4 linked regions of the Lepisosteus oculatus genome follow. The protein of the gene in region 1 purifies or fractionates together with the protein of each later gene. This does not show direct contact. Links are inferred from orthologs where the notes say so. Each region holds a gene or a part of one and is shown in the gene's direction. Other genes may lie near its edges.

What was found.
Region 2: the proteins of exoc7 (region 1) and exoc6b purify together in Homo sapiens (affinity purification with mass spectrometry; 3 studies listed by BioGRID and IntAct, with this or other methods). This does not show direct contact. The link is inferred for Lepisosteus oculatus from reciprocal best matches to the Homo sapiens genes EXOC7 and EXOC6B.
Region 3: the proteins of exoc7 (region 1) and exoc6 purify together in Homo sapiens (affinity purification with mass spectrometry; 4 studies listed by BioGRID and IntAct, counting the BioPlex papers as one, with this or other methods). This does not show direct contact. The link is inferred for Lepisosteus oculatus from reciprocal best matches to the Homo sapiens genes EXOC7 and EXOC6.
Region 4: the proteins of exoc7 (region 1) and exoc8 purify together in Homo sapiens (affinity purification with mass spectrometry; 4 studies listed by BioGRID and IntAct, counting the BioPlex papers as one, with this or other methods). This does not show direct contact. The link is inferred for Lepisosteus oculatus from reciprocal best matches to the Homo sapiens genes EXOC7 and EXOC8.

What each region holds. Positions count from the first base shown.
Region 1 is NC_090704.1:43,129,464-43,137,234, reverse strand, and holds the start of exoc7 (exocyst complex component 7), read left to right. Parts: upstream 1-4,749; 5' UTR 4,750-4,891; coding exon 4,892-4,951; intron 4,952-5,427; coding exon 5,428-5,493; intron 5,494-5,959; coding exon 5,960-6,144; intron 6,145-6,693; coding exon 6,694-6,799; intron 6,800-7,122; coding exon 7,123-7,345; intron 7,346-7,771. Other genes in the region: protein HID1b, read right to left, coding at 350-499, 2,400-2,465. UniProt on the Homo sapiens protein: Component of the exocyst complex involved in the docking of exocytic vesicles with fusion sites on the plasma membrane.
Region 2 is NC_090696.1:2,756,353-2,763,248, reverse strand, and holds the start of exoc6b (exocyst complex component 6B), read left to right. Parts: upstream 1-3,880; 5' UTR 3,881-3,930; coding exon 3,931-4,019; intron 4,020-6,896. UniProt on the Homo sapiens protein: Component of the exocyst complex involved in the docking of exocytic vesicles with fusion sites on the plasma membrane.
Region 3 is NC_090699.1:23,699,238-23,707,008, reverse strand, and holds the start of exoc6 (exocyst complex component 6), read left to right. Parts: upstream 1-4,752; 5' UTR 4,753-4,787; coding exon 4,788-4,885; intron 4,886-7,771. UniProt on the Homo sapiens protein: Component of the exocyst complex involved in the docking of exocytic vesicles with fusion sites on the plasma membrane.
Region 4 is NC_090697.1:55,327,693-55,335,072, forward strand, and holds the start of exoc8 (exocyst complex component 8), read left to right. Parts: upstream 1-4,368; 5' UTR 4,369-4,511; coding exon 4,512-6,566; 3' UTR 6,567-7,380. Other genes in the region: DNA-dependent metalloprotease SPRTN, read right to left, coding at 1,556-1,684, 2,387-2,486, 3,546-3,859. UniProt on the Homo sapiens protein: Component of the exocyst complex involved in the docking of exocytic vesicles with fusion sites on the plasma membrane.

The sequences.
Region 1 (7,771 bases):
TACTTTTAAACTGCAGTTTGAAAATCAATAAAACAAAATCTATAAAAGTTAATAAAACCCATCCAGTGCTGACTAACATAGGCCATTGACTACTATAAAGTCTGCTTTCGGTTCATTTCCTGCACTCCAAAAGTGTTTGGGAGAAAGCCCTTCACTGCCTTGCAGGGAACAGACAGCCTCCCTTTCCACAGCCCAAACTCAGACACACTTCTCTGCCAGCCTGGGTGAAACCCAGCACCACTACATCTCAGTGCAAATCAATGATCTGAACCATGGACATCGGGGCTCGTTGATTGTTGCCACCTGTGCCCAGGTAGAATGCAGACAGCTGCCCCCAGACATTCAGTACCTTGTAGCAGAGGGTTGCCAGGTTTGAGGGAGACTCCTCGCGAACCGCTCGGATCTCCGCTGCTGGCACCAGGGCAAACACATCCTGCACTGAGGTAGCCGTGTCAGCCCAAAACTGGTCCCAGAAGGCGTCGTCGGTTGCCTCCACAGGCTGGAGTAAAAGATCCCCCCCAAAAAAGAAGAGAACATGAATTACACTTCCCAGAAAGAAAATGTGCTTTTACATAGAAAGTAAACCAAAAGAAAGAATTACCCCTTTTTACCAAGATGCTAACCAATGCAAGTGACAAAAGTATGACTGTATACACCATAAGGACACCCCCCCCCCGATGGGATGCCAGTCTACAGCAAAGCAGACAGAAAGACAAGAGCACAGACATACCCGCTCACACCTAGAGCCAATTATCCCAGAAGTCAGTTAAAGTACCAATACAAAAACATAAGCAATTTCTAAGGGAAAGAACCATCTCTGGATCTGAGAACTTGTGTAAAACACACAGGGGAAGAAGTACGCTGGAAAATGGAAAGGAGAAACGCAATCTGTATGACCTGAGGAAGTCTAAGTCCCTGCAGATGAAATGTCTGTTTCTCTTTTCTTAACCTTTAATTATTCCTTTGCAGCCAACGCATGGTGACGCCGATCTCCACTGAAACATACCATACAGATAATTGGTTGGCTTCACTCACCAGTAACGACACCACACGATGAGTTTTACACTAAGAAAAACTTTGATATAGATACCGATTTATGCATTTTTGATTCGGTAAGATACAAGTACGTACAAATATTTGTTCACGTAACAATCTTGAAAGGCACAGATTAACGAAATTAAATCATTTATTATTTTTGTGTGTCCACATCAGAATAGCGAACAACAACCTAAGATATTCGTCTCTAGAAACGGTGAATCGTGTCTAAAGCTTCTGAGTCCCCCCCGAGGTGAAAGCGTTGACAGTCAAATTGAGATTCAAATAAGAAAAAAAAATGTAGACTACTCAAATAATAAGCCTGAGTTGTATCACTCAGTTTGTACATACATTTGCATGAGACGATAGAAAAACAATCGAACAGCAAACTAACCTACTTGCCCGAATATTGTAGCCGCCATAACATCTATAAACAGTATGTCATTGCTTATTCTCTTATCTCACTCAGTCCACCTTAACCAAGCACCTGCCGCTCAGGTTTGCGAGATTAAAACACGTCATCAGTACAGTAGACCTCAGAAGCATACACGACTGTCTTTGAAATTACAGATTTAATTTAAACAAATATCAACACACTACCCTCTTTACTGGCTGACTTCAGTGCTGTTCTAATTTCCTATTTATCGTAAATCCACGAACCCCTGTCTCAGAGTCCACCTTGAAACACCTTCACCAGGTGTGCGCTCGCTTAACAGAAAAACCTCGGTATATGAAAATTAATAAATGTACGCGATCAATCGGTGATTTACTAGTAGAAACCCGCATGCGAAGTGGGAAAAAAAGACCAATCTCCCCATCGTTTATCGAAAATGATTTCCCAGGCCCATCAAGCTCTTAGGAATAGTCTACTACTAGCTACCTAGAAACAGTAACTAGCTACCTCTTTATTTACCGATGGGGGTGCGGGATTTTTTAATTCATTTTCACCCACACACAACGCATGCAAAATCCAGATTTTGTAGAGCGACAATTATAACAGATTGTATACAACGGTAAAATCTGTTATTTACATCTTTTTACAACCCATGTCAGACTGCATTTATAATAAGCGATACCTTTTACAATATGAAAGCAGAAAACGCACATAATTTAACAGAAAACGCCACAGTTTTTATTTCACGTTGTGTTTAACGCGCCCGATTACTGTGAAAACGCGTCATTTATTTATTTTCTTCAAAGAAATCCGTCTGCTGGGCTCGTCTGATCCATCCTTTCTCTGATGTTCGTGTACCATCTGGTCCCGTTTTCCTCAGTGCTTTCCATCAACCCAGCGTTTCAGGCTGCATATGTGAGCCGACAACGCTGCCTCCCTTTTTAAACGCATCGTTCCCCGTGTCCTTTACCTGCGTTTTAGTTGTGAGCTGTATTACGGCTTTCCTGAAGTTCAGCTTGGTGTCGGAGTTCCCCATTTTTTTTTTCCTCCCCTCGGGTGTCAAGACAAGCCTGCCTGTTTTGATCCCTAAATAATCTCTCTCTCTCTCTCTCACCACCCTCCCTCCTCCTCCTCCTCCGGCTCTCTCGCTGCCAAGGCGATGAATGAGGTGGGAGCAGGATCCAGGATGAGGGACTTCCGGGTTCCAGGCTTTCATGTGCACGCTCGGCGCTCGAGCAAGGCGCACAGCTCCTCCAGGCGTATCAACCTCCACTGCGGGACCCCAGGACGCCCCTTCAGATCCTACTCTCATTGCTGTGTCAACAAGTGCAAGTAAACATCAATTTATCTACCGCAATTCAAAATAAATACACATATGGGCATAGAATCCGGTGGTTGTGAAGTGTATAATCCTCGCTGGGTCAACCTGTCATGTTAGATTACTTTTATCAATAATCATATTATTACCCCCCACCTTACCGACTGTATCGATACATTTTAATGACACTAGACGCCCTTTGACATGTTTTTGGAATACAGCAAGCGGTTCCCGCCCCCATGTCCAGGAGAGCCTCTCTCCGGTTACTTTGATAAAATGCGCTAAGGCTGAGTGCGATTTTTTTTTTAACGCATTGCGATGGAATTGACCCACTTAATCCACTGACTACTGTAGGCGTTTAAATTATGCAACAGTAACTTCAATAGTATAAATGATATACGTGCAAAATTACTGCTCAATCGCCCGCGACTAAAATCTCTCATCCTTCATATCACAAAAATAATTCCTTACACTGATATATAACGCTTTTTCTGGACACTTCAGTCAAAGCGCGTTATATGTAATGGGGCCTCCCCTCCACCACCCCCACCAATGTGGAGACCCCACCTGGATGATGCCTTATCATTAATGACATCATTAAGTCAACAAGCTCGTGACTCTTGTATTCCATATCTTGGGCACCCAGTTTACCACGTGCCAGGGCACTACCTGTAGCTGAAGCATTCTTTTACCTTCGCATGGGGCGCAAACAAACAATTCTAAAATCTGGGTGTATAGTTTTCTCTCAGCACTATAATGATACAATTTCTCTTTCTGTTCTTCTGAAGCTAAAAGAAGATTTTGAGCCTGTGAGCCTGGTCAGTACCTGGGTGGGAGACCTCCTGGGAAAAACTAAGGTTGCTGCTGGAAGAGGTGTTAGTGGGGCCAGCAGGGGGCGCTCGCTCTGCGGTCTGCGTGGGTCCTAATGCCCCAGTACAATGGCGAGTCCCCATTACCTGTAAAGCACTTTGAGTGGAGTGTCCAGAAAAGCGTTATATAAGCAATTATTATTATTAAAAAAGAAATGTTACACTTTGAGTAAACAGTAAAATTAAACATTAGATACTTTTCAGATTATTAATCATAACACTGAGTTATTATATGCCATGGAAGTGTAAAACACAGGACTATGTAGGTAATACCCAAGTTTTCCCAAAATTCAGTTTAATTCGATTACCAGATAGATTCATATTTAAACCGTTTATTCTTACATATTATTTGTGCCAACAGTATCTGTATACCTATACATAAAAGTTGATGTCCGTTTAAAAAACGCTGTAGTTCCGTGAGCAACCTATGGGCGCTTGTTAAAATTAAATACTTCCTGGGCACTCAAACTTTGAGAGAGTCATCGAGACAGATGCTTCTGTAGTGTAAGACACTGCATAATTAGAATTTACCAGGAATAGCCTTACCAAAGGTTTATAATCGCCCTTTAAAAAAGAGCACAATAACATTTTTTTCCCCATTTATCACAATCGATATTATCAGGCTATTCGGTAATTGGACAGCTGTGATTGTTGTACTCTAGTTCCTAACAAAATAAAGGATTATCTTAAAAAATTAAGCGCTGTACTTTTAAGTTCTCGTATTAATGGCCATCCTACAGCGACACGATGTGAGGGGAACAAGAATTGCATTAGGTTTATTTTGTGGTAAACCCCAACACGATAAAATCACCTTGAAAAATTAGAATTTATATTATATAAGACGACAACTGTACACGGAATAATGTATTTGTGTTTAAACAGAAAAAAAACAACCAAATAGTATGTCCATAATCATTAATTCAAAGTGATTTAAATGACTTCAGTTCAAAATATTAATAAAGTGAGACTCTTTTTTATTGCAGCATTCACTAATCCCCTAACAAAAATGTTTCGCACGCAACAATTTTAGAAATAACAAAAAATTCTTTTCAAATGCAATTCTTGCCACAACCAAAATGAAGGAAACACCGGACCGTACGGAGAGGTTCTGTACTGCCTTGCTGCCAACCGGAAACGGAAGAAGGTCGAAAGAGAAAAACAGGAAGCAAAACCTGTTAGTATGAGTAGGGGTTCAAGTGCATTTAATTGTTAGAATCAAAAATATAAACACTAATACTTTACTTTAATAAGGACATTAACCAGTCATTTAGCAGGATGATTCCAACGGAGGACGCATCCTCTAGGAAGAGAGAAATAGAAGAGAAACTCAAACAGGTTTGTAGAGGATCAACGGCACTTTTAGAGTATTTTCATCTGTTCACAGTCATCTTGAAGGACTGTGATTCATTTTCCTTTTTGGATATAAAAAAAAAACATTCTTTGCCGACATTAGTTTACGCATCTGTGTGCATTCCAAGTTGTATTAATTGCAAAAGTTCATTGTTGTTAATGGTAGTACAGTATGTGGAGATTTCTACTGTCAAAGCATAGTGATCTCTAACGCTTGAGCTCGGAGGCGGCCACACCCCTGTACAATGGGGGCTTTTTAGATGGTTTCAGTCAGTGGTTAAAGATCATGTTCATTTTGACTGTTAGTTGGCCTAATTAAGCAATTGAGAGACAATGGTTGCAGTTCAAACAAGAATACCCATTGGTTCCTAACGGCCAGGGCTGGAGCCCTCTAGGTACAGAATATAAGGTGTGATTAACATGCTTTCCAGCACCTCTGTTATATTTTTACCCTTCGACAGGAGCAGGACACGTTGTCATTCATCCGTGAAAACCTGGAGAAAAGTGATCAGCTGACGAAAGGAATGGTAAGAAAACCGTTTAGATCAGTGATGTTCTCTCCTGGTTGTGTAGGACTGCAGGGCACCAAGTTTTAACTTGTAATCCTGAAATAGTAAAAATGTAGAAACAGTGGCTATACAGATGGACGTAAAGCCAAACAACAATGAGGCTCTCCAGTGCCTTATATGTTTGTTTTTAACTTAGACTTATGTGGTTATCCCAAGGTTATACAGTCTGATTTTCTGGGTTGGTGTGGAATTGCCTTTTGGTAACAAAGCAGCACTGAAATAATTTGTTGGATTATAGTATACTGGGGGTGTCCATAGTATTCATGGTCCTGTGGTCCACTGGATCTTTCAGGTTTCATAGTTCTTTTGATTTGTCTCTGAATAAGAGTGGGTAGGATAAAAAAAATGAATGCAACTGCTTTTGCAGCTTCGACTCTGGTTAAAGACCTCAACCCTCTCCCTACGCTGCCTCGCTGTTCTGCAGGTTTCCATCTTGTCCTCCTTTGAGAGCCGCCTCATGCAGCTGGAGAACTCCATCATACCAGTGCACAAGCAGACAGAGAATCTGCAGCGGCTGCAGGACAACGTGGAGAAGACTCTCTCCTGCCTGGACCACGTCATCAGCTACTACCACGTGGCCAAGGACACAGACAAGATCATCAAAGAGGGGTGAGGCGTGGTGTCCAGCATGAGGAGGGGCTGGGAGTGTTCTGGGTGAACCAAACCCACCGTTCCAAGATAATAATAATAATAATTGCTTACACTTATATAGCGCTTTTCTGGACACTCCACTCAAAGCGCTTTACAGGTAATGGGGACTCCCCTCCACCACCACCAATGTGCAGCCCCACCTGGATGATGCGACGGCAGCCATAGTGCGCCAGAACGCTCACCACACATCAGCTATCAGTGGGGAGGAGAGTAGAGTAATGAAGCCAATTCATAGATGAGTAATTCTTTCGTTTGAATGGAAGGAAGAAGCCTTTAACTTCATTAAAAAGCGGTAGTCCACTACCTGGGTAGTTATTTGCAATTTGCAAGAAATCACCAGATAATGCGATTTAATTTAATCTAGGTCTTAGTCTGCTTGCAAAAACATTAATAAATCTGAATACTGAAAGAGTGTGAAAATAGTGTTGGTTTCACTTAAATCGATGCAAAACAGGTGCACGTTTTGAGACTGCCAGTTTATTATACTCAGTTAAGTGTGTGTTTCAGCCCTACAGGCCGACTGGATGAGTACCTTGCTTGTATTGCGAAAATCCAGAAAGCAGTGGAATATTTTCAGGACAATAACCCTGATAGCCCAGAGCTCAACACAGTTGTAAGTCCTGCCCCTTTTTTGAATCTAAACACTGTTTTTATGTGTTTAATATTACAATTTGTTCATGTCTCTTTTGAATCTGAGTGATTTCTGTACTGTACTGAAAAAGACAAGATGTGTATTTTAATGCAACACCTATTTTGTCCGTTGCTCATCTTTGCCAGCTCTGTTACATGAGGTCATGATTTTAAGAATGTGAGGATGAAGCTTTTCAATGGCAGTACCTCCTAAGCTCAACTGTCCTGATAGACTGATGCACATTCTTAAAAGGACCTTTGTTAAAGAAGGAGTTTGGTTTTACCCTGTCATCTTCCCTTCCCCAGAAAGCGAGATTTGAGAAGGGGAAGGAGCTGTTGGAGGCTGAGTTCCGGAGTTTGTTGACCCGCTACAGCAAACCTGTGCCGCCCATCTTGATCTTGGATCTGATTGGAACCGATGAGGACCTGGATGTGCAGGAAGAGGTCACACTGGAGCACCTGCCTGAGGCCACACTGCAGGATATCATCTGCATCTCTGGCTGGCTGGTAGAATACGGCCGCAACCAGGGTACCCCACGATTGTCCTGGAACTCTTTCACTGCATGCAGCTTCAGTATTGAGTTTGCACTGTATGGAGGGAATGTGTGGTGAGGGGTTGTAGTCATTAAGGTTGCAATTCTGTTAACTCATTTATTTTTATCTTAAAAAGCAAATGATAAGAAAAGCCTTTTCCCTCAAAAAAAAATCTTGCATACGTTGTAATTAAAATGTATATTCCTTATGGCCTAGGACTTTAAACTTTTTTTTAAATGATGCCCTTTAAACTCTTTAAAAGGCATCATCAGTCCAGCATGTTTTCAATTCATTGGCTTTTTAAGGCCCATGAAGAATTTTTATTGGTCTAGTTGTGCCTTGTTTAGAGCGCAGTGAAGTTGGCACCCCTACGAATAGGACATACAGTTAAACCCACAGCCGTTGTTTGTGCTCCGTTTGT
Region 2 (6,896 bases), on another chromosome or scaffold:
AAGAAGAGCCCTGGTCAATCCGAATTGCACCCACGCCTGGTGATGCTCAGCCAACTGCGTGCCACTAGGGAGGGTCTACAAACTCCTTTACACCTCTGATCTCTCTGCCTGGCCCACTCTGAGTAGTGAAGAGTCCTGTCATACCACCATTGTCCTCCAGAGGGCCTCCTCTGTCGCTCTCCCAGCGCAGAACAGGTCGCAGTCAGTGAAGAGTCAGGAGGCAGTGCCTCACATGGGCAGCCTGGACCGCAGGACCTTGGTCCCAGACTTGTAGGTCTTCTCCAGCGTGTCATGGGATGGCCTGGTCATCCTACAGTAGACCCACAGGTCAGACAGCAGGTCATCCTGTCTGCAGGCGCTCGCCATGGACAGGGAGTGAAACATAAAGACAGTGCCAGTGGACCATGCTGTAGTTTCCCCTGACACCTGAGGAAGTGCTCCATTATTTACTTTTTATTCCTCCTCTAGACAGGCTGAAAGTCAGACTCTTGAACTCTACATGAAACACAACACCGCAAAACAGAACACAGTACGACTGATTACACCCAGGAGGAGGCTGAACCTTTCATTTGAACCAGCAGGAAACCATCAGAGTTGAGCTGTTTTGGTAGACTAAGACAGGAAAAGGTCCATGGTGTAATTTAATTCCAGATTGCTGGCTCTGGTCTCCTGCAGGGACTGAGGTCTTCATCTCAGGGTCTCGTTTCCGGGTGCGAACATGCACAGAGTGGGCCCTGCCTTTAGCGCTGTGCCTGGTGAGCTGAGCAGTCCTGGGCTGCACCTCGGCCGTCACGCCAGACAGCAGCCGGAGTCCTGCTCGCAGAGGGAGGGACAAGAGCCAAGAGCATCGCAGACTACAGCCTTGACACCTGTGGCTTGAGGTCATGGCCTTCTCAGTCACCAGCTCTGAGCGCGGTCCAGCGTTTACTGCAGGATTCCAGATGCTGGAGGAGCATGCAGGCTGTCCTGCAAGCTCATGGTGGCCTAATGCCCTGCGGAGTGACTTTACATGGGTGCTTCCATTTGATTGTGTAGTATCTGTAAGGAGTGCACGGCCTTGCCACTGCTCTGATTCTGTGACTGTTTTTCAATGCATGGAGTGGTGTTGTTCGCCCCATGATGAGTAGGGATACTGTACCATGAGCCGATCCAGGCTCCCGTGAAGCGTAGTTCAGGACCCTCTGCAGATGGTATAAACTGGAAAATAAGTGGAGAAGGACATCAGGGGAAGGTACAGCAGGGGTGACAGACAGGGGGTGGTGACAGTGGTGATCCAGTTTGGGGGACGTGGCGAAGGCAAACAAGTCCAGGGAAGTCCAAAACGGGAAATCCGGGGTGCAGTCCAAAATCCCAAAACTGGGTGATCCATCCAAGACAAGACAGGGTTAAAATCCGGAACATTATCCGGAACAAGAACAAGGAGTTAAAAGAGAGTAACGAGGCCAGGTGCTCCGAGCCCCAGACTCAGACGGCCTGCCCTTGGGCTGCCCGCGAGCCCGGGGAATAGCCAAGCCTTGTGGCGTCCATCTCCCAGGGCTGAGCCGGGGACAGCGTGAGCACCAGGCTTGAATAACGGGGCACAAAACAGGGGGCAGGTGCACATAGTCAACTAAAACGCCATGAAGAGGAGGGACCCCGATCGTGACAGGTACTCAGTACTCAAGCTGTGCATGGAATCTGAGCATTTACAGTATTTCCCTTAAAATGCAGAGTTTACCCAGGCAATTGTAGGGGCCCGCGTCTTCCAACACCGAAGGGCCTTGGTGCCATGCAGAGGCCACGATGTACCAGCAGCCCTGAGCAGGAGAAGCGAAGCTCCAGGCGAAGCCATTCCTTCACTTCAATGAAGAGGGACCGTCCGAGAGGCCCAGTGGGAATCTCAGCTGGGACACTGGGGTTGGCTCTTCATAACCTCTGACCACTGAGCAGTCAGGCCCTCTGTTTCACACCTCTCCCTTGGGAGACACTGGAAAGCTGTGTCAGCTGTCACCATACCCTGTCACCTACTGGACCCCAACACCACTTACAGCTGCAGCCTAGCTTTCCTTTTCCTCCCTAAACCTGCTGGTTTGCAATAGTTGAAATACAACCTCCAACAAGAGCTGGGAAAGTCAAACAGTGAGACAAGGAAGTGTCCAGTTCAGGGACCAGACTGGGAACCCCTGTCCTAGTCCACTACAGTCTCTGCTCTGCCGAGATTACGGAAGGTGACAGGGCTAAGACTTCATTTCCCTGCAGTTCGAGGGCAGATTCCTCGTTCACAGTGAGCTCCTGTGTGAAATATTGATTCAGCACTTTCGCCATTTGTAAGGCCTTGCTTTGACTGCTTTGGCCCAGCTCTTTCCATTTCATTTGCTGGGATAGTACAAGAAAATGTCAACTTTTGCTGTTGTTTTTCAGCAGCCAGTGAAAAAGAATCTCTCGCTCCTTCACTATCTGCTGCCTTCAAACTGAAAAGCTTAGATTTTGACCTGTCTGGTACAGGTTTGATCCCAAAGCAGAAGAGGTTCCAGTGGCCGGGCGACTCTCCTCCTTCTGTCCTCCTCAGCGCATTGACTTCACTTCTCTAACAAAGGGCAGAAAAGCCGTCAGCGTGTGACTCTCGCTTTGATCCTCCTTACATCTGAGAAGGAAACATGCAGAAGGACAACAGGTTCCACAGGCTTTGTCTCAGGAGAGCAGGTTTGAGTCCTAGCGGATTGTCTCTGCCGGTGATCACACTGGGAGGTAGCCAGCTATGCAATGTCGTTACTGTAATCTGATTCCACGATTCTGACTGTGCAAATATTGTCTTGTTAAATCTTTTTTGCTTGACAGTGCCCTCGTTAACACAGCAGCTTCCTGATACTTATTTACGTGGTTGGATGATGTACAGTAAATGGTACATTTGTTTTCAATGGTTTTAGCGGTTTAATAACGGATTATTTTTTATTAGAAACGTAGATACATTTACAAAAGAGAGAGTCATTCAGCCCAACCAGCTCGTGTTTTATATAACTCATCAAAATTATATTTATAAAGCACTCCAATAAAGTTGTTAAATTTAGACAAAGGGAAATTAGTTTTAAGAAGTAATGCATTACTCCACATAGTACCTGTAAACAAACTACATAAACCAATATCTATGAAGACTGCAATTCTTCACACAAGTTACCTGTAATTGTAATAGATTACTCTTTAAAGTTGCTTTCCGCGACACTGCCTGCTCCTGACTAGAGTTCTCGCCCGCGTACAAATCGACCAGCGTTTTGCGATGTTCGCTACCGCACACGTCGAAGTACAGGCAGGTGCTGTACGCACCCTCGCCGCTAGGCAGAGACGTTGGCTCGATTTTTCTTGGATGAATGGAAAGGATTTCTTGTGATCGTGAAAAAAATATTTAAATAATGTTTCATCATCGTAAAAGAAATCAAGGAATAGAAATACGAATTAAATCAGAGAACAGAATTTTAGAAAATGGAGAGGATCATGGAAAGGATTCCTAATATTAATTCTGTAATTCAACATTTCAATGTAAAAGTTTGAAGGATATCACATTTATTTTTACAACGCATATTTTTAACAAACCAGCATTCTGCATGAATGTATTTCTTGAGAGCATTTTCCTTGAAGAATAAAAACTTACAAATACAGATATCACGTTTCGTGTGTGTGGGTTGTTTTTTTTTATAACATTAAGTATCTTTGCACGGGTCCGCCTATTGTAGAAAAGGCAGCGAAACTCAATTTCCCATAATCCATTTTTATCCCCCCCCCCCCCCCCCTAGTCAGAGCACTCACGGGAATTGTAGTCCTTGACCCCAGCTCATTCCATGGGAGATTCCTTAACGTTCCCCCTCCGTAAAACTCTCTTTCCCAGAGTCCCCCCCTCGCGTGGGATGGTTTGTTTTTCAGGTGACGCAGCGGAGCGGCGTTACTGGGACATGGAAGATGGCGAGTTTGGAGATAGCTGCGGAGCACGAACGAATCCTGCGGGAGATCGAGAGTACGGACACCAACTGCATCGGACCCACACTCCGGTAAGGACCAGCGGGGACCCGCCGGGGCGCAGGGCGGGCTAGCAGGTGCCCCTCGGGGTTGGTGAGGGCGGCGGAGCTCAGAGCCTCCCGGTATGGCTACTCCCACAAACTCGGAGCTGCCCGAGGGAGTCTCCCTGAATCAGTCTCTCCCGGAGACTTCTGGAGCGCTTCTGCAAAGTTGTGGATCCGGCAGCCGCTCATATGGTCTCGGCATTGCGGTCCCTCCCGGCCAGTGTGCCCCTGGCGCTGGCGGGGAGGGCAGTGCAGGCACGGAGCGGCTCTTCAGCTGTTGGACAGCCTTGACGGGAATCAGTGCTGCTCACTGCCTCACCCCCGCTGTGCTGCTTCCTAAAACTGTCCCGGTGCCGGGACCAGGCGGTCCGGGAGCTGAAAGCGCTTGTTTGCTATGCTGATGGAGCTCATCCCTTTTTGTTTCTTCTGAAAGCCTGGCTACGTTCCTCTCCGAAAGGTGACTGGGGCGTGTGTGGACATGGGAAAATCTATTATTAGGTGTGTACGCTAAAATAGCCGCTGACGAAAGTTTCTTTGCGCTTCACTGCGCTGCTCACCGGAGCCAGCCGCCCCAGACAGAGCCCCCTTCTGCCCTGTCCTCCTCTCTGAGAGTAAAACTGCAGGAATGAGGGGCTTTTATTAGTTGTACACTGTTAGCACTCGAGTTCGAACACCCAGACTATAGTCAGGCTGCTAACATGAAACGGTTTTGGGAAAGTTCTGTACGACCTAAAACACAGGCAGAAGGGTGCTTGTTTTTTTTAATTAAACTTTAACTGTGTGGTAGAGAGAATACGGACTTGAGTTTTTCTGAGCGAGGTGATGTAGTGGCTGTAGTCTGTGGGAGGTGTTTTCAGTCCTCAGAGCTCACTCGGGGTTGGGACCAGCAGGAAGGTGCCAGGCGAGGGGAGAGATCTGTCGGAGTCCGAGCTCCTGTGAGCTTTCCGAGTTGGAGATAATGACCATCGCTGGGCTCCGTGGTTGAATTAGGTCCAGCTCTTGGACGTCAGCAGCTCGGATTCGTGTTTCCGAGTCCTCTGTGCCCCTCGAAATGAACATCCGTTGGATAACACGATCATAAGACCAGTTAAAGATCAGCGTCAGAGCAGAAACCTGAGGCAAAAGTAATTACAGAATGAGCATGTCCTTATTCAACATGAGACACCTGACCTTTAGAAGGACTTTTATTAAGCCTCCATCACGGGCTCCTGTACTTCTACCTGAATAGTTTACATCAGTTGTCCACGGGGCGCTTGGGTTCATGTAGCAGATAGACTCCAAGAATGGGGCATCGGTTGATTTAGCCCGAAGAGGACAGAGGGTCAGAAGGGTTTCGGGACCTGGTGATGAGGCTGTGGTACTGGGTGTTATTTTGGGAGTTAACCCTCAGCCTGCTGCCCACAGCGCCTGTCCCGCTGGTTCTTCAGCCCCTGTCAGTCAGCTGTGATCTTGCTCCAGGACAGCGCAGTGGACCCGGAATGTTTTCATGAGCCCCTGTGACCCAGAGTCATGCCGGCGTTCAGTGTCATGTTTTGAGCTAACTCTGAGGCATGTCCATACAAATAGATATCGCTTTGAATAAGTGGCAGTGCTATAAATCCGATGATGATAATTTCATTAGGTCCTCCGCAAAAAGACGAGGAGTGTTCTTCGGTGGGATGAGCTGCGCTGTGGCGCAGTGGACAGCAGGGCTGCCTTGCGGCGCTGGGCCCTGGGTTTGGTTCCTGCCGTGCTGTCTGTGTGGAGTTTGTATAGTTTCCTCCCGGTGCTCTGGTTTCCTTCCGCAGTCCGAACATATACTGTTGAGTCGATTGGCAGGTTCGTGTCTGTCTGCCATGTGATGGACTGGCGTCCTGTCCAGGGTGTGTCCTGCCTTGCACCTGTGGCTAGCTGGGATAGGGTCTGGCTCCAGTGTGGCCCTCAACTGGAAAAAGAGATTAGAAAATGGAAGGATGGATGTACTTCAATGGGGAAGACAGTATGCGATAGCTGCAAACAAGAGATTCATGTTTTGAAAGCTTCTGTGATTGTTTGACTGCTGGCACATTTCCAGATCAGTTACCTGATCACTCTTTCTAGAATGATCATTTATCTAACGCATGCGACATGTCCAAAATGCCAGCTTTACTGGACACTGCAGTAGCCTGAAGTACAGTATATGAATATGCTGTGTTATGCTGTTGACACCCATCTTACTGAGCTGCACAGCAGAGATACACACAGCCCAGTCTATCACAAAGGAGAGGCTCTCACTGTGTGAATCCCAGGTTCTGGTCTAGTTTGGTTTTGCCTTGAAAATGGGCTGCTGGTCCTCACATGCAGTGCTGTGTGGAGTGAAGCAGTTAGAGAAACCCTGTGATAGGTTGTCACCTGTTCTGCAGGCACAGTAAAGATGTTTGAGGTAACTCAGCTCCCCTACATTAATCTTGCAGTGTTGCTTTAACACACAGGTGTTACAACACGAGAAGGGTTCCAAACAAGAGGACGCCACTCAGCCCAATTTGCACATTTAGTACTTAGTAGCTAATTTAACTAAGGATCTGCAGCTGTTTCTTGAAAGAAGCCAAGATATCGGCTTCAACATTATAGCTGGGTAGCTTGTTCCAGACATCCACAACATGGACTTTGACACAGTTTCCATCGGTGTCCTTTGGCTTGTGTTTCACTGCCCGTTCTAGAGAAGCTCGCTGGGCTGACTGTGTCAGGGCCTTTAGAATCTGGCAACTTGAATCAAGTGTTTTTTCTGTTAATCGGTCGTTCAGATTTCAGAGTCTGGATCTCACTGCTTCCCTTCTGAGCCTGGGCCCAAAAGTTTAACTCCTTCAAGTCGGTGTAGTCCTTCGACTACTGTAATGCTCGACTCAC
Region 3 (7,771 bases), on another chromosome or scaffold:
CATGTTGCAATTCATCAGAGAGGAGACCTAAATGTTCCTCAAGTGCCTTTTTATTACACTGCCATTTGACAAAAACGACAATAGCTTTGCATACAAAACCCTTTCAGGGGGCTTTGAGTCTCTTGAGACTTCTGCGAGTGGAAAGAGTTTCAAAACAGGAAACGTACAGTGTCAGTGTTTGTTCATTTTCTTTTCTCAAAGAAGGGCAAAGAAGGCACTGGTGGAATGACCCAGCACCGAGATTCAAAGCAGACAGTGAGAGACATTTTAGTTTATTGATACCAGCTGTAGATTTACTGCATCTGTCCTGTCTAATAATGGGCAATCTTCCCCAATACATGCCACACTGCTGCACCAGTCTTTGCAATTCGAATGGTTCTATTTCCGATCCCTCCATATGAGAACAGTTTTCTCAAGTAAAGACCTGTGATACCAGTAGAGCAATGTCAAAGCTTTTCTCAAGAGTGAGCTCTAGGAGAATCAAAGTAGATGGGATCAAGCCAATAGGGGAATACTGAGAAGCTTGTGAACACCATATTTTAATTTAAAAAGCCACAGTGCATCTGTGCAATGAGGTTCTCACTTCAATGCATAGCCCACATGTTATCTTTTTAGCCACAATTCTTTGCTCTCTAATTCTTCAGCTCTTCTTTATTCCTCTTGTACCTTGTTCCTGTGTTCGTACTACCTCACACTACCAATAACAGACATTTACGTATGATGATCTCTGTTATTTGTCAATGACACTGTTTCAATTTATTTAGCACTTCATATGAGAAACGCTGTGGTAGCTAAGAATACTCTTCTTCAGACTCCCTCTTCTGGACGGCCGCTGTACTACGGCTCTCCTAAACCAAGCGGTCAAGCAAACACAAACAGACATCAGCACCTGGTAAGCGAAGATATCACGAAGCAAGAAATAATACGTTCTTGTATTTACCTGTCAGGTAGATTTCAAAGCTTTGATATTGATTCCAGACAGTCAATAAATGCAGTACACCTTAAATGGCCAGTAGGAGCCTAACTAAACTATCTAATCTCTAGATTGACAGGGAACACAATAAACTCTGAATTTAACTAACTGCAAACACTGAAGATGCAGGCCTGTCTCATTAAAGAGCAACTTAAGCTATCAAAACTGTCTAGGGTTTTGGCTCTGGTCACAGAACAAGGTCTGCACAATCTTAGAATCTCTGTTAAGATTAGTCAGACAGAGGGTAACACTTTGTCTAATAGTTGTTCCTTAATATTAATGAAGCCGACAGGATAGACTCTTGAGACGGGTTCATTGTTTAAGAAAAGGATTGTTTTGCCTGTTTGAGACAGATGAAGGATAAATTCAGAATGTGCAGAATGTAAATCAGATTTAGGAAAGACATCACATCAGATTAGTTTGAGATATTATTCTTTTGATCTTTCATTTTCAGTTTTAGACAAGAGCCATCAAACAAAAAGAGTAAAATATATATGCATTAATGTGATGTTTACATATGTACATGTGAAAAGAATAGATCGGGGTTTTCCCATTAATTAGAACATTTCTAATTGTATTCCCTATAAATGCAAGATTATTTTGAAAATATAAATCTATCAACAAAATATTTGAATCATGCAATGTACTGGGCGTTTTAATTTTACAAAATATTGTCATATGCAGACATATTTTCGCAATTATTATACATGCTCAAATAATATTTCTGAGTGAAAGGCTAATTATTTCAAATTGAAACTTCCGTAATCTGCTAACGCAGGTAAGGGTCTTTCCTCCTATTTCAAAGTGCCAACTCGTCAGTGTCAAGGCTGTTAAACCTTCATACTTTAGTTTGGTACCAGACACCTACTGCTAATACGTGAGGTTTAATGCTGCTGTTCAGGAGGCAAGACTGTCACGATCGGTTAGGATTTTGGTTCGATTCCTACTGGGGTCCAGATGCAAAAGTTGCTGTTATTCCTTTGTCTGCCTGGATATCCTCCACATATTCCGGTTTCTTTCCAAAGGATTGCGATCTGGGATATCGAAATTGTGTTTGTGGCCTGCGATGGACTGTCGTCCTGCATGGGTATAGTTCGGCTTTGCACCAGATGGTACCGGGATATCAACCGGGAAGACGCAGCCATTAGAGGGAATGAGTTAAGGATAACATCACATTTTTAAATTGTGACTCATGTGACAAAAGAGTGGCTAACATAGTTCCACAAAACGCCAAGATCAGCGTTTCATAAACTTTGAAACCTTTGAAACTTTGAAACCTCAAAGTTTCAAAGCTCTGAGACAGTGAAAGTCCAAACGGGGGATGGAAAGAGTTAACAAAAATATCTGCATCATTTATCTGATCAGAAAAGAGAGGGGGTTTCAGTTTCCTGTGATACCATAATCTGCGTTTCAGAAAGGTTTGGGGTGGTGGTGGAGGAGGAATGAGGGGAGAGGGGGGTGTGAGGAGAGTTGAAGCAGAAGAAGAAAGAAATGTTATCCACAGGCGTACGTGGAAGCCCTGACCTGCAATATTCAGGATTCGAGGATCCTGGCTTTACTGGGATATTTTTTCTTTGATTTATCATTAACGCTGACACTGTATCCGCCTGATAAATGACCTTTGCGAGAATGTCAGCACACGAGTTCCAACTTACAATACGATCTAGCCGCGCGGTGTTCCTGTGCTCCAGAAACGTTTCCTTTACACGCATGTCTTGTTTTTCTCGGTACAATAAGGAAACCCCCATTGTTAGGGCTTCTTTTGAAAATCAGTAAAATGTAGATTAAAGATAAATGTAAATTTGCTTACATCACCTACTCGGTTCTGTACCTATTGTGTAGTATGTTTTACAGTGAACAAAATCAAGTCATGTACATGTGTGTAAAGCATCAGACATGTTAGGGATTAAATACCAAATTTTATGAGGAAAAACGAATATACGCTTTTATAAAGTTTGGGGATTATACAGTAGCTGCCTCCCGAGGTTCATGTTTAATAACCATACAACGTCCATTTTGAAATTAAGTAGAAATAAGATAAGACATGCAAAGAAAATGTTGTATTTTTGAGAATAAGATTACTTTTAGAGAAACAGAAACGATTACTTATTCTCCTATTTCAGCACAATCCCTACAATGACAATGACTATGTTTTCTCCTAATTTTTGGATGAGTACATTTAAGAGTTAACTGAGATTTAAGATAGTTATTAAACAAATAAGCAACTAAGATTTTGATTCTTGGATTCGGAGGGTTGTGGATGACAAGGGCATTGCTTTTCCTTCTGCTGTGTGATTTTGCTGACCGCAGCAGGAAAGCTATCCAGCCCTCACCAAAACTCCTTCTCTTATTCTGAAAGCTCGCAATGGCCAACAAAACCATTAAGTCCCTATCACCCAGTGTCCTGGGGGAAGAGAATCGAGAAGATAAAGTGTATGAAAATTTTTTTGCAGAACTAGAAACACTTGGCTTACCTTTGGGAACAACTCTAAGGTAGGGATCTTAAACCCATTTTTAAAGTTAAAAGCAGGAAAGAAAAGTAAAATGCTAAGTGTGTGCTCGTGTCTGTTATTCCTGGAACTTAAATGGCAACTCTTTTCAACAATAGCCGCATTTAGGAAAATAGAAAAATAGAGTAAGAGTCACGGAATGGACTGTGAACTTCTGTGAAGTAATAATTAAACCGAATAAACTGTGGTGTTTCCTGGTAGGACGTTCGAACAAAAGTACGCTGTCCTTCAATTACTATCACTCTTAAACTGAGATTTTTCCTAATATTATATCCGCTATTGCGCATTTTTAAATTAAGAAAACGAACATGTTACGGGTTGTAGACTGTTGTACTCGATTCGGGTTAAACACGCTTCATTGAAATGTGTCTAAGGAGATCTATTTCGCCACTATTTTCCCTATCATGTTTAATTATACCAAGGGACAAGTATTTTTGTTGTTTCTAACTGACTAGACCATACTCTTACAAGAACAATGTACTGTTTATTTCTCTTTTCTTAGTAGGTAAATGTATTTCTTCCCAAGGGATTGGAATGGAACTTTAAACATTAAGATAGCATCATTTAATCTAACCGTACTATACACTGAATACAGAAATAAGGAATCCTCTTGTGATCCATTTTTTTGTTCTGTGCTACATATTATTTTCACCGCAGTGGAGCAAGGCGAGGATAACTCCACACTGTGAAGTGAAAAGAAAGACGACAAAACCACAAGTTTCGTGTGTGATGCCATATTCACACACCTGAAGTACTCAACATCTAGCACATTGTGTTTTCTTTTCCTTTTACGTCGCAGAATGTATTTCTGTTCTTTAACGTTCCCAGGATGTTCTTTTTCTCCAGAGCGCTGTTACTTGAGTAAATAACATTTTATGAAACGTTAGAGTATTTCCAATTTGAGAGAAAAAGGGTGCATATGTGTGAGTGCACGTCACTCTGAAAAAAAGATCATTTAATATGATGCCAATTTACATGAGACAAACATTAATAAATACTGTAAGGTAGCCCTGTAATGAAAACATTCAACAACCAATCAAACGAAGCATAAGTCTTTGTTTAAATGGGAATGTTTATTTTCTGCAAACGTGAATCACCATGTGTATGGCGGTCCATGATTTTATGTTTGAAGCAGGTAAGAACACATAGGCTACATACTCTGAACATGCTTAATCCAGCAAAATCAATTCTTCCCCTTTGGAACACCTGCTGCCAACTTCACCGCCGACTCGCCCCCTAGCGCCGACTAGAGGCAGCACTCTCGTTCCCCGCAGTGTCACTTTGTCACCGAGAGCACAACAAACATGGCGGAGACTGCAACCTTGGAGAGTATCACCGAGCATGAACGTATCCTGCAGGAAATCGAGAGCACAGACACTGCCTGCGTCGGCCCTACGCTTCGGTAGGGAGAGAAACGTTTTGCCGTGCTCACCTTCGTTGAATCATAGTTGTAATTTCTACCTAAGACCTTGCAAGTGTATTAATTTAGCGGCCGGGCCTTTGTTAGCTATTGCTGCTAACCAGCTGAGCTTCCTGAACTGCGGCACAAGCAGTCGTCTGCTTCTTACTTCCTAGTTTGAAATAAATACTAATGCAATTAAACAGCACAATGTCTCGTTACATTTGTATACTATGTTATCGATTTATGTCTGTATACTTAAATAGTGCCAACAAAACGATAACCCGATAGTTATTTTAAGAAATAAGTGTTAGGGATTTACAAAACTGCAAATTGCAAGAGTAGGTAGTGTTTAAATGAAAGGGAGTAAATGCATATAGGCCATAGGACCGTTGTTTCTGCATATAGCGGTTCAATATGAATTTATGTATGCTTGTTATTGTCTGAAATATACGATGGGAACAGCTTCAGTACGACTGTGTACATTTATCTTGAGAAATTCTGTAGAGATTATAATAATTTGGTCTCAGAAACAGTTATTATAAGTGGGTGTGGTGGGATATCTGAAGGTTGTTACACTACACAGAAAATAAACTGATGCTGTTTCGATAAGGGGTAGCGCTTGCTTGTGATCCCCTTCTCAGTATCCGTTCAGCACGATGTTGCTAGCGCGTGATTTCGCGTTTGGAGAATGTTGATTAAAAGCGATTCTGAATGCCGGTTTCTGAAGCAAAGCACAGATAGTATTAACTACGGCGTAATAAATATAGAAAAAATCTAGGTGGGACATCCATTCAACCAAGAAATCTTGACTGTAGCCTGCTTGAGACCTTCGCTCGAAACAATTGCAGAACAAACCACGGGTCAACTAATGACGGCAGACATTTTTTTTATTTAAAAAATGTTAAATTCCAGGAGGGTTAATTATACCTTTGAACGTGTCTTCTGAAGAACAAAGAAATATTTACGTCTAATTAAAATGCATAAGAAAGGAAGGGGGTGTTTAGGAAATTCAAAAAATCTCTTTTGGCATGTATGGGCATGTAGTGCCTTATAACGTCAAAGCTCTGCCGAAGCAAGATGAATTAAGGATGGTACCGATTCCCTGTCCTATTTAGTGCATAATATATTGTATGGCATACCTTATAATAGTTCAAACGCACGCTTTTTTTTACAGTTGCTGTGAGTCTTCAGAGTACTGGCATTAGACGTTTTGCGTCACCTGCTGCAAGAGTTATTGATTTCATGAAATACACATACCTTTAAAAGCACAACGGATACACCATCTTTTGGTAGCTAACGAAAATGCTCATCGAGCAACTAGTTCATTTTACAATTTGAAGGCGGAAAATGTATTTTTGTGTGTCCCTCACTGAAGGGATCGTTTCTCCCATTCGTTTATCTGTGAAGTAGGTCACAATTACCGAATCGCCCTGATTTGTGGAGGCGCTCTGTGGGTTTCCTCTTAAGCACACTGTAGATCTGATTTTCAGTGTTGGTGCGTTAGATTTTTGTGGAGTTTTTCTGTTTCTCTTCCTTACTGGTAGGAGTTTCTTTTTTGTGGAAAAATTCTGTAATGGGAGTTTAGTGCTCCAAATGTATTATGCATTTTCGAGATTGTGTTTAAATGCACAGTAAAAATGATATAACCGTACCTATGTATCAGGCTTTACAGTCTAGCCATTGACATTGGCACAGCCAGTTCTTTCTGATTGTTCAGATGAGTTAACTCAGTGGTCTAGTGAAGGAGATGGTTTTCTCAGGTGCACTGAACTGTACTGGAGTGGCTTCAAGCCTCAGTATGGCTTTCACAGCATATTGAAAGTATATTGGATGGAAGAACAAAAAGCTAGTTTGAACAGCTTGACTCTGAAAACCTTAGTGTCATCGTTCGTGCATTGGCTGAAATGCAGTTGTTCTGTGGTACATTACAACATAACCATCCATCTGATTTCTAACTGCTCCAGCCAGTTCAGGATCACGGGGTATCCGGAGCCTATCCCATCAAGCAACAGGCACGAGGCAGGAAACACCCTGGATGGGATGCCTATCCATCAAAGGGCACACATAGACACAAACACAGATACACACACCACGACCAGTTTTGTGTATCAGATAGCACCCTAGGTCTGGAATTAAGCAGCAATGCTAATCACTGCACCTCCATGCCATAACCAGATTTTCCAATACTCATGTGCAAATTCAATTCGAATAGATTTAAGATTGTGTTAACCCCAGTTCATCCAAGTGAGACTTGCTAATCACTCCTCTTTCAGATACTGTTTAGCTCACTGTTAAATTCACCTTTTAAAGTCCTTAATCTTAAAAGGTTGCTTAAATCACAGGTGGGAATCTAATTGGCTTTGCGTATTGACTAGGGCAGGCCTTTTGACATGGAAATATGTAACACTAGCTAATCCACAGAGAATAACTGCCGTGTAGAAATGCTCATGGTGAGCACCTGCTGTACTGGGAGTGGAGGTTCCGGACAGAGCATTGCTCACAAGGATTGCATCAGTTCATAACTGCTGTGGTTTCATTGTGGACTGGGGGACTAAAATGTATCGTAATTGCATTGTTTAAAAAAACTGGTTTACAGTAAGGCCCAGAGATATAAAAAGAACCTGAGAAAAATAATAATAATAATAATAATAATTGCTTACACTTATATAGCGCTTTTCTGGACACTCCACTCAAAGCGCTTTACAGGTAATGGGGACTCCCCTCCACCACCACCAATGTGCAGCCCCACCTGGATGATGCGACGGCAGCCATAGTGCGCCAAAACGCTCACCACACATCAGATATCAGTGGGGAGGAGAGCAGAGTGATGAAGCCAATTCATAGATGGGGATTATTAGGAGGCCATGATTGGTAGGGGCCAATGGG
Region 4 (7,380 bases), on another chromosome or scaffold:
GGCAAATGCTGCAGTTTGTCTTCTTGCTTGGAAGCTCATGTTTTACAAGTAAAACCTGCTTTCCTCTCTTTTTTGAAATTGACATGGATAAATCTAGGCACTTGAAAATGTCATCCTAAAAGCAGTGAATATTATGAATAAAAATGTGAAGCTTTACAGGATAGCCTTGTGTGTTATATTTGTTCAAGAACTTCACAATCACTCTGAATGATTGCATCGCTTAAGATCATTAAAATAATCAGAAAAAACTGAAAATAAAATAATGGTTATGTATTGAAAAATGCATTGTGCAGACCTAAACAAATTTAAATGTCATACTCTATATACTATTGCAGCCAACAATAAAGTAATATGAAGAAAATGTAGTTCCTTTATTCAAAAACATTAAAATAAAAAATTAAGTGATAACTGCATAATACACAACAGAACTAGGCAAAAATAGAATATTCCTATATATTTATAGTAAATATACATATTCCTTTGATTTATTAAGAGCTAAATATAAAGCACATAAACATAACATGACAGTTTTGCAGCAAAGAGAAAAGAATAAACTAACATTAAGCCACATGTCATATCTGGGGTAATATTATTCCATCTATGAACTGGCTTCATCACTCTGTTCTCCTGCCCACTGATAGCTGATGTGTGGTGAGTGTCCTGTGTGCTCTATGGCTGCCATTACATCATCAAGGTAGGGGCTACACATTGGAGGTGGTGGAGGGGAGTCTCCATTACTTGGAAAGTGCTCTGAGCAGAGCAGCCACTTGAAATTCTGTAATCCTGTAAGGATTATTATAATCATCATCATCCAAAAACCTGGCACACCACCTTATTAGTTCCATGTTTATCCACAGGGCCTATGTTACCATAGACAGAGAGGTCAGATGAGTTTCAACAGATCTTCCCTGCCTCTCTATATCTGGGGTAATGGGCACTTATTTTACACATTTTAATACATTTTGGAAATATGTGAGGTCTGTGTTGAGCTATATGTGGGATAATATCATCCCCCATCTCCTGAGATATGAAATAACTCAATGCTCTTGACTTTTAATGCTTTACAAATTAGTTTTCTTAGCAGCGATAACTGCAGCATAAAAGGCTATGGCATGATATGTAATAGAGCCTGATTTCTTTTTCTTGTGTTTGGTCAGGATGTTTACATGATAATTTGCTTCTAGAAAGAAAGCTTGGCAGCACCCTGTACTTTTTGCTACAATGTTGGCTTTGGACACTGCTCGTATATCTGATGTTTCATATTGATTGTCTTAGTACCTTTTGCTCCCTGTTTTTCTTTCTTTTCTTTCTCTTTTGTTTTTACTTTTGTTCTCTCCCCTCCTCAGTGGGGCTGGGGTTTAAATAAATCCAAGACTTGTTCAAGAAAAAAAATCAACGTTATGACTTAAGAACAAAACCTCACTGTGGTGTTAACGCAAAACAAAAAACTGAAATAATTTGAAGGACCTTTTAAATAACTGATTTTTATTTTTGAAAAACAAACTCTAATGTTGTTCTTATATAAAAAGTGCTTTCTTCCCCATCAGTCACCTACAGTAATGTTGGTCCCGCTGGCTTTGTTGATCCTGTTCATATGCTTGCAGAACTCTGGTCCATGTCCATCCCGATCGCGGTTATTTTGAGTGACAAAAAGCAACGCATGGATCATCTCATGTAAGAGCGTCTGGAAAAAAACACAAATATTCAGTCATACTCATGTCATGAACTTTTAAAAAAATAACCTTTTCTACTTTCTTAAGTTCAGTGCACTGAACACTTTTCCAGACATGTGACAGCATTGAAAACTCAGAGGGAGATGCGTATTTACTACCTACTGCAAACAAATGCCTTGACTTAATCACTTAAGTGTGTAATACAGTGAATGTAGGAATTTAATAGGAAATTTAGAGTGGTAGTATATGCAGACTGGTGAGGGCTCAGAAAGTATAAACTGAATGCATCCTGGATTCACGTGAGCCCCATTAAAGACCAGCTGGATGAGCTGGGACAAAGTTTGGCATCTAGGGCTCAGAGACCAGTGAACCAGCCCAGTGATGTGTGTCTAGGCTCTTTCAGAGTAATGGGACACAATTGCACAAGACAGCATTAACAACCTGGTCAATAAAATATCAGTGCACCTGATGGTAAGGGTTGCAGTTGTAAGGCTTATGTTTCTTTTGATGCTCAGTTAACTTGTTTGGCAATAACGACAAACTCAACTTGTCCTTTCATTCACTTCTAAGTAAAAGTTACTGGATTTCAGAAATTCAGAATTCAGAAATTCAGAAAATAAAGAACAAGGGCACAAGACTGTGGGGCTTTGTTAGTTTAGCCTTGGAAATTCCACAGGTAACGCAAGCCGATGCAGCAGACCGGCAGGACTGACCTCAACCAGGTCCCGCCGCGGTCTGAGCTTCAACAACGGTTCGCTGAGGCGGATTGAGCACAGGCCTCCTCGCCCTTCGTATGAGCACACACCTGCACACCTGTGGCAGGAAAACAGCACCTTTCAAACCATCCCGCACTCCCACTTCACAGCAGTTAGAGCCATTTCAGATTTTAGGCTCCGTGAAGGGTAGGATCTTGCAGGATATTTAAAGCTTGTCACCTTATTTAAGGAAACTGCAGAGACAAAACTGGAAATAATAAATTCTAAATACCCTGTTTACACACACATGCATATCTGATTACTTGTGTCATCAGTTTCATTTATCAAAAGCATACAGCTCACAAAATCTGAAATGGATCAGACTTGCATACAAATACAAATATGTCTACCCCTGCATCTGAGTAAATAGCAGTAGCCTCAACTTGTATAACTCCGTCATTCCCCCAAAAAACTAGGGTATTTTATGAGAAGGGAAAAAAAAACTTTTGAAATGACAGTCTAATGTTTACGAATCTAAATATCTGGAAAACTAAATATCAAGAAGTACTCAGGACTATTCAAGACTATTCAAGAGCTAGCCTAATTTTTAACACTTGTCCTACTGTGCCTTAAAGTGCGCTCCACTCCAATAATAGTAATACTAATATATAGTACTGTATATACAATAGATATAGGAATATTTAATATTATATAATTATATAAGCGTTATATTCACAACATGAGAATCAGATAAGACTTCTTCCAACTATGTGGCAGACTTTTACAAACGCCAATCATCCACACAATTTAAACGGATTAAGCAGAAAGCAGATAATTTTAGTATTTTAATTATCTATGCACATAAGAAGAGCAAAAAAATACTCGGTAGATTTTTAAAGCTCACAAAACCATACATGGATCGAACTGCTAATAAAACTCTTTAAAAAAAGTCTTACTTTCTTTTTAAAGGAGTTTAAATCTATCATTAGCTACAGTTTTTGAAATGTTGAAATATAAACGTGGGGTATGAATCTGTTCGACATTATTTATCACGGGTACTTAGCGGAACGACTATGAAATGCAGTAACATCATGTTGGAATATAAAACGTGGCAGCGGAGCATCTCCAGGGTATACTGGATGTCATTCCCAAGCAACGGAAAAGTTGGGTGGCTTACAGTGTCATTCGTGGGCTCCATTTCACCTCCACCCCGGCCAGTCTGCCCCAGAAGAACATGTCGTTGAACTGCAGGAACATCGCCCTGACATCGGGGCTGGGGTCCAGCATCTCCCACGACTCGTCCACTATGGACAGCGGTCTCTCAGGTCTAAAAGAGGACCGAGGGTAAGTAACAAGCTCATCACTGGTTTCCACTCTCCTCTTCTTATTTTGAACGTAATCGTCATCGTCGTCAACGATGGAGACGGACGCTTCTTGATCAAATTGGTCCTGTAACTGAAGAGCTAGCAAGAAATCCTCGTCCATTGACATCCCAATACTAGCACTGTTCACTGAAGCTAATTACTAGTTAGCTATCGTCAAAGTGAAAAAAAAGTTAGTTTTCCCCATCTCTATTTCTTGTGTTTTTTCAATGAAGACATGACGGCAGTTTCATAAAATCATTGCTATTCACATAAAAGTGTAACATCTTATCTTTAAAAAACAAACTTAACAGCCCGAGTGTATAAAACCAACCACCTATGTTGAATAAAAAATGAACAGCTGCTATATTGAACTGCATGCTGGGATACGATTACCCTCCCTCGTCTTCTTCCTGTATATCATTGTCCTACTATGTACTTACTCGGAGTTCATGGTGATAAATTTATTCCAAAAAATATGATAATGGGAGATTATCTGAATTTTTAAGAAAAAAAACACACTTTTGTTGAATTATTAAACTATTTTTCTTTTTTTATTACACAAGGAACCATATTTTTATTAAATTATTGAATTCTGTTTTTTGTAGAGCACCTCATTGTTGGCCACCCAGAAAAAAAAGAAGGTCCTATGATTTCACTGGGAGTTGGTCAGTTTGTTATTGTAAGAGGTTTCCGGCTGTTTCCGTGAAATAATTCGGACACGCAGTATAAACATAAACCTGACGAGTTTTTTTTTCACTAGTGATACTGTGAAAAGGGAAATGGCAGACACTGCAAACAGACTACGTAAGCAACTGGAATCGCCAAATTTCGATCCACAGAATTATGTTAAGCAGCTCTCTCAGCAGTCAGATGGTGACAGAGACCTGCAAGAGCACAGGCAAAAAATACAAAATCTGGCAGATGAGACGGCACAAAACCTCAAGAAGAATGTCTACAAGAATTACAGACAGTTTATCGAGACTGCCAAAGAAATTTCTTATTTGGAGAGCGAAATGTATCAGCTCAGCCACATTCTAACCGAACAGAAGAGTATAATGGAGAGCATCACTCAGACGCTGCTCTCCACGGACAAAGATGAAGCTGCGAAGGAAATGCTGGCTGCCTTCCCGAAGGAAACCGAAGAGTTAAAGCAGAGAACGCTAACAACACTTCTGGAGAAAGTAGAGGGCTGTAAAAACATTATGGAGACCCCTGGAAGGTATTTAGTTTATAACGGAGATTTGTTGGAATATGATGTTGATAACATGTCCCAAATCCAAAAGGTTCATGCCTTTTTGATGAATGATTGCCTTCTCATTGCTACTTGGCTTCCCAACCGACGGGGTGCAGTGAGGTACAAGTACAACGCCCTGTACGACCTGGACAGCTTTGCTATAGTCAATGTGAAAGACAACCCCCCCATGAAAGACATGTTCAAAATCTTGATGTTTCCAGATAGCAGGATCTTCCAGGCAGAGAACAGTAAGATTAAGAAAGAGTGGCTGGAGATTCTGGATGAAACCAAAAAAAATAAGGCAGTGAAGGAGAGGCACAAGAAAGAGGAGGAGACACCCAATTCCCCAGTGCGACAAGAAGTGTCAAACAACCCTTTTGATGAGGAAGAGGCCATGGGTTTGCAGGAGACTGTGGACTTGAGCTTAGAATGGATTCAGGAGTTGCCAGAGGATCTAGATGTCTGCATTGCACAGCGTGACTTTGAAGGAGCTGTAGACCTGTTGGACAAGCTGAATGAGTACCTGAAAGACCAACCAGTGAACCAGGCCGTCAAGGAGCTGAGGGTCAAGGTAGATGAGAGGGTGCGGCAGCTGACCGAGGTCCTGGTATTCGAGCTCTCCCCAGACCGGTCCCTGCGGGGTGGCCCCAAAGCCACACGGCGCGCAGTTTCCCAGCTGATCCGTCTGGGCCAGTCCACCAAGGCCTGTGAGCTCTTCCTGAAGAACAGGGCAGCTGCCGTTCAAACAGCCATCCGTCAGCTGCGTATCGAGGGTGCCACCTTGCTGTACATACACAAGCTCTGCAACATCTTCTTCACCAGCCTGCTTGAGACCGCCAAGGAGTTTGAGATGGACTTTGCTGGGAACACTGGGTGCTACTCCGCATTTGTGGTGTGGTCTCGTTCAGCCATGAGGATGTTTGTGGATGCCTTCAGCAAGCAGGTCTTTGATAGCAAGGAGAACCTCTCCACTGCTGCCGAGTGTGTGAAGGTCGCAAAGGAACATTGCATGCAACTAAGTGAAATTGGTCTGGACCTCACCTTCACCCTCCAGTCTCTCCTAGTCAAAGACATCAAAGCTGCCCTTCACAGCTATAAGGAGATCATCATTGAGGCCACGAAGCACCGCAACTCTGAGGAAATGTGGCGCAAAATGAACTTGATGACCCCTGAGGCCCTAGGGAAATTGAAAGAAGAGATGCGCAACTGTGGGGTGGGCAGCTTTGAGCAGTACACTGGTGACGACTGCTGGGTAAATCTCAGCTACACCATCGTTGCCTTTACCAAGCAAATGATGGCCTTCCTGGAGGAAGGGCTGAAGCTCTACTTCCCTGAGCTGCACATGGTGCTCCTGGAGAGCCTGCGGGAAATAATTCTGGTTGCTGTTCAGCATGTGGACTACAGCCTGCGATGCGAGCAGGAGACTGAGAAAAAAGCCTTTATCGTTCAGAACGCATCCTTCCTCTACGAAACGGTCCTTCCTGTGGTGGAGAAGCGATTTGAAGAAGGAGTGGGGAAGCCAGCCAAGCAACTGCAGGAACTAAGGAATGGGTCACGAATGATGCGCGTCAACCCTGATAGTACAACCTCTCTAGTGTAAGAGGACAGTTTTCCAACCCATGAACAGAATTTCACAGCGCAATTCCAGTGATTGCGGGATTTCATTGCTCAGGTCGCGTGTCGTGGGAGCTGGGTTTCTGCTAAGAGAATCAGTTTGTGAGCATTAGCCAGTTGGAAATGTAACTTATTATGTTTAATTTTCTGTCATTGCTTTTGCAATTTCTTTAAAAAAAAGAATGACAGCAGTTAAGGTGATGTTACTTTCTCTGCTTAAATTCTTGAAGATGGCTACATCAGCTGTATTGAACTTTGATTTTTTTTTTCTTTTCACTTCATACTCATCTCTGTACAGCATGTGAGGCTGATTTCATTTCCTTTTCTGGTTCTGCTAAGGGATATATGTCATATAAAAATACAAAAAGACAAAATTGCCTTAAAAGACATCTCTGAGCTGATAGGCAGAAAGTGTCCAGGGTGAGTAAATTACACTTATAGAAAGTTCTAAAATCACAATAATCTTATGTCTGCCAGCCTCCCCTTGCTGTGGGTATTTCTTCAGCTTTGAAAAGTATTTCTTGTCAAGCTGTTTATACTGGAATATATACCTGTTGTAGGGAATATTCATCTAACAGTCAGAACCTTTTACATTTTTTCAAATAACCGCATGGAGGAGAAACAAATTGCCTAATTCATTTTTGCCAAAGCATTCATTGGCTAACAAAACCTCAAATTAAGTCTTTTCATTTTCATGAACCCTGAAATGGCATATAATGCATGGAAATAAAAGTGAAATTATTAACTCTCTCTTGTGCCATAGCGCTTTACAAATATGAACTAATTTTCAGAAAAAGAGA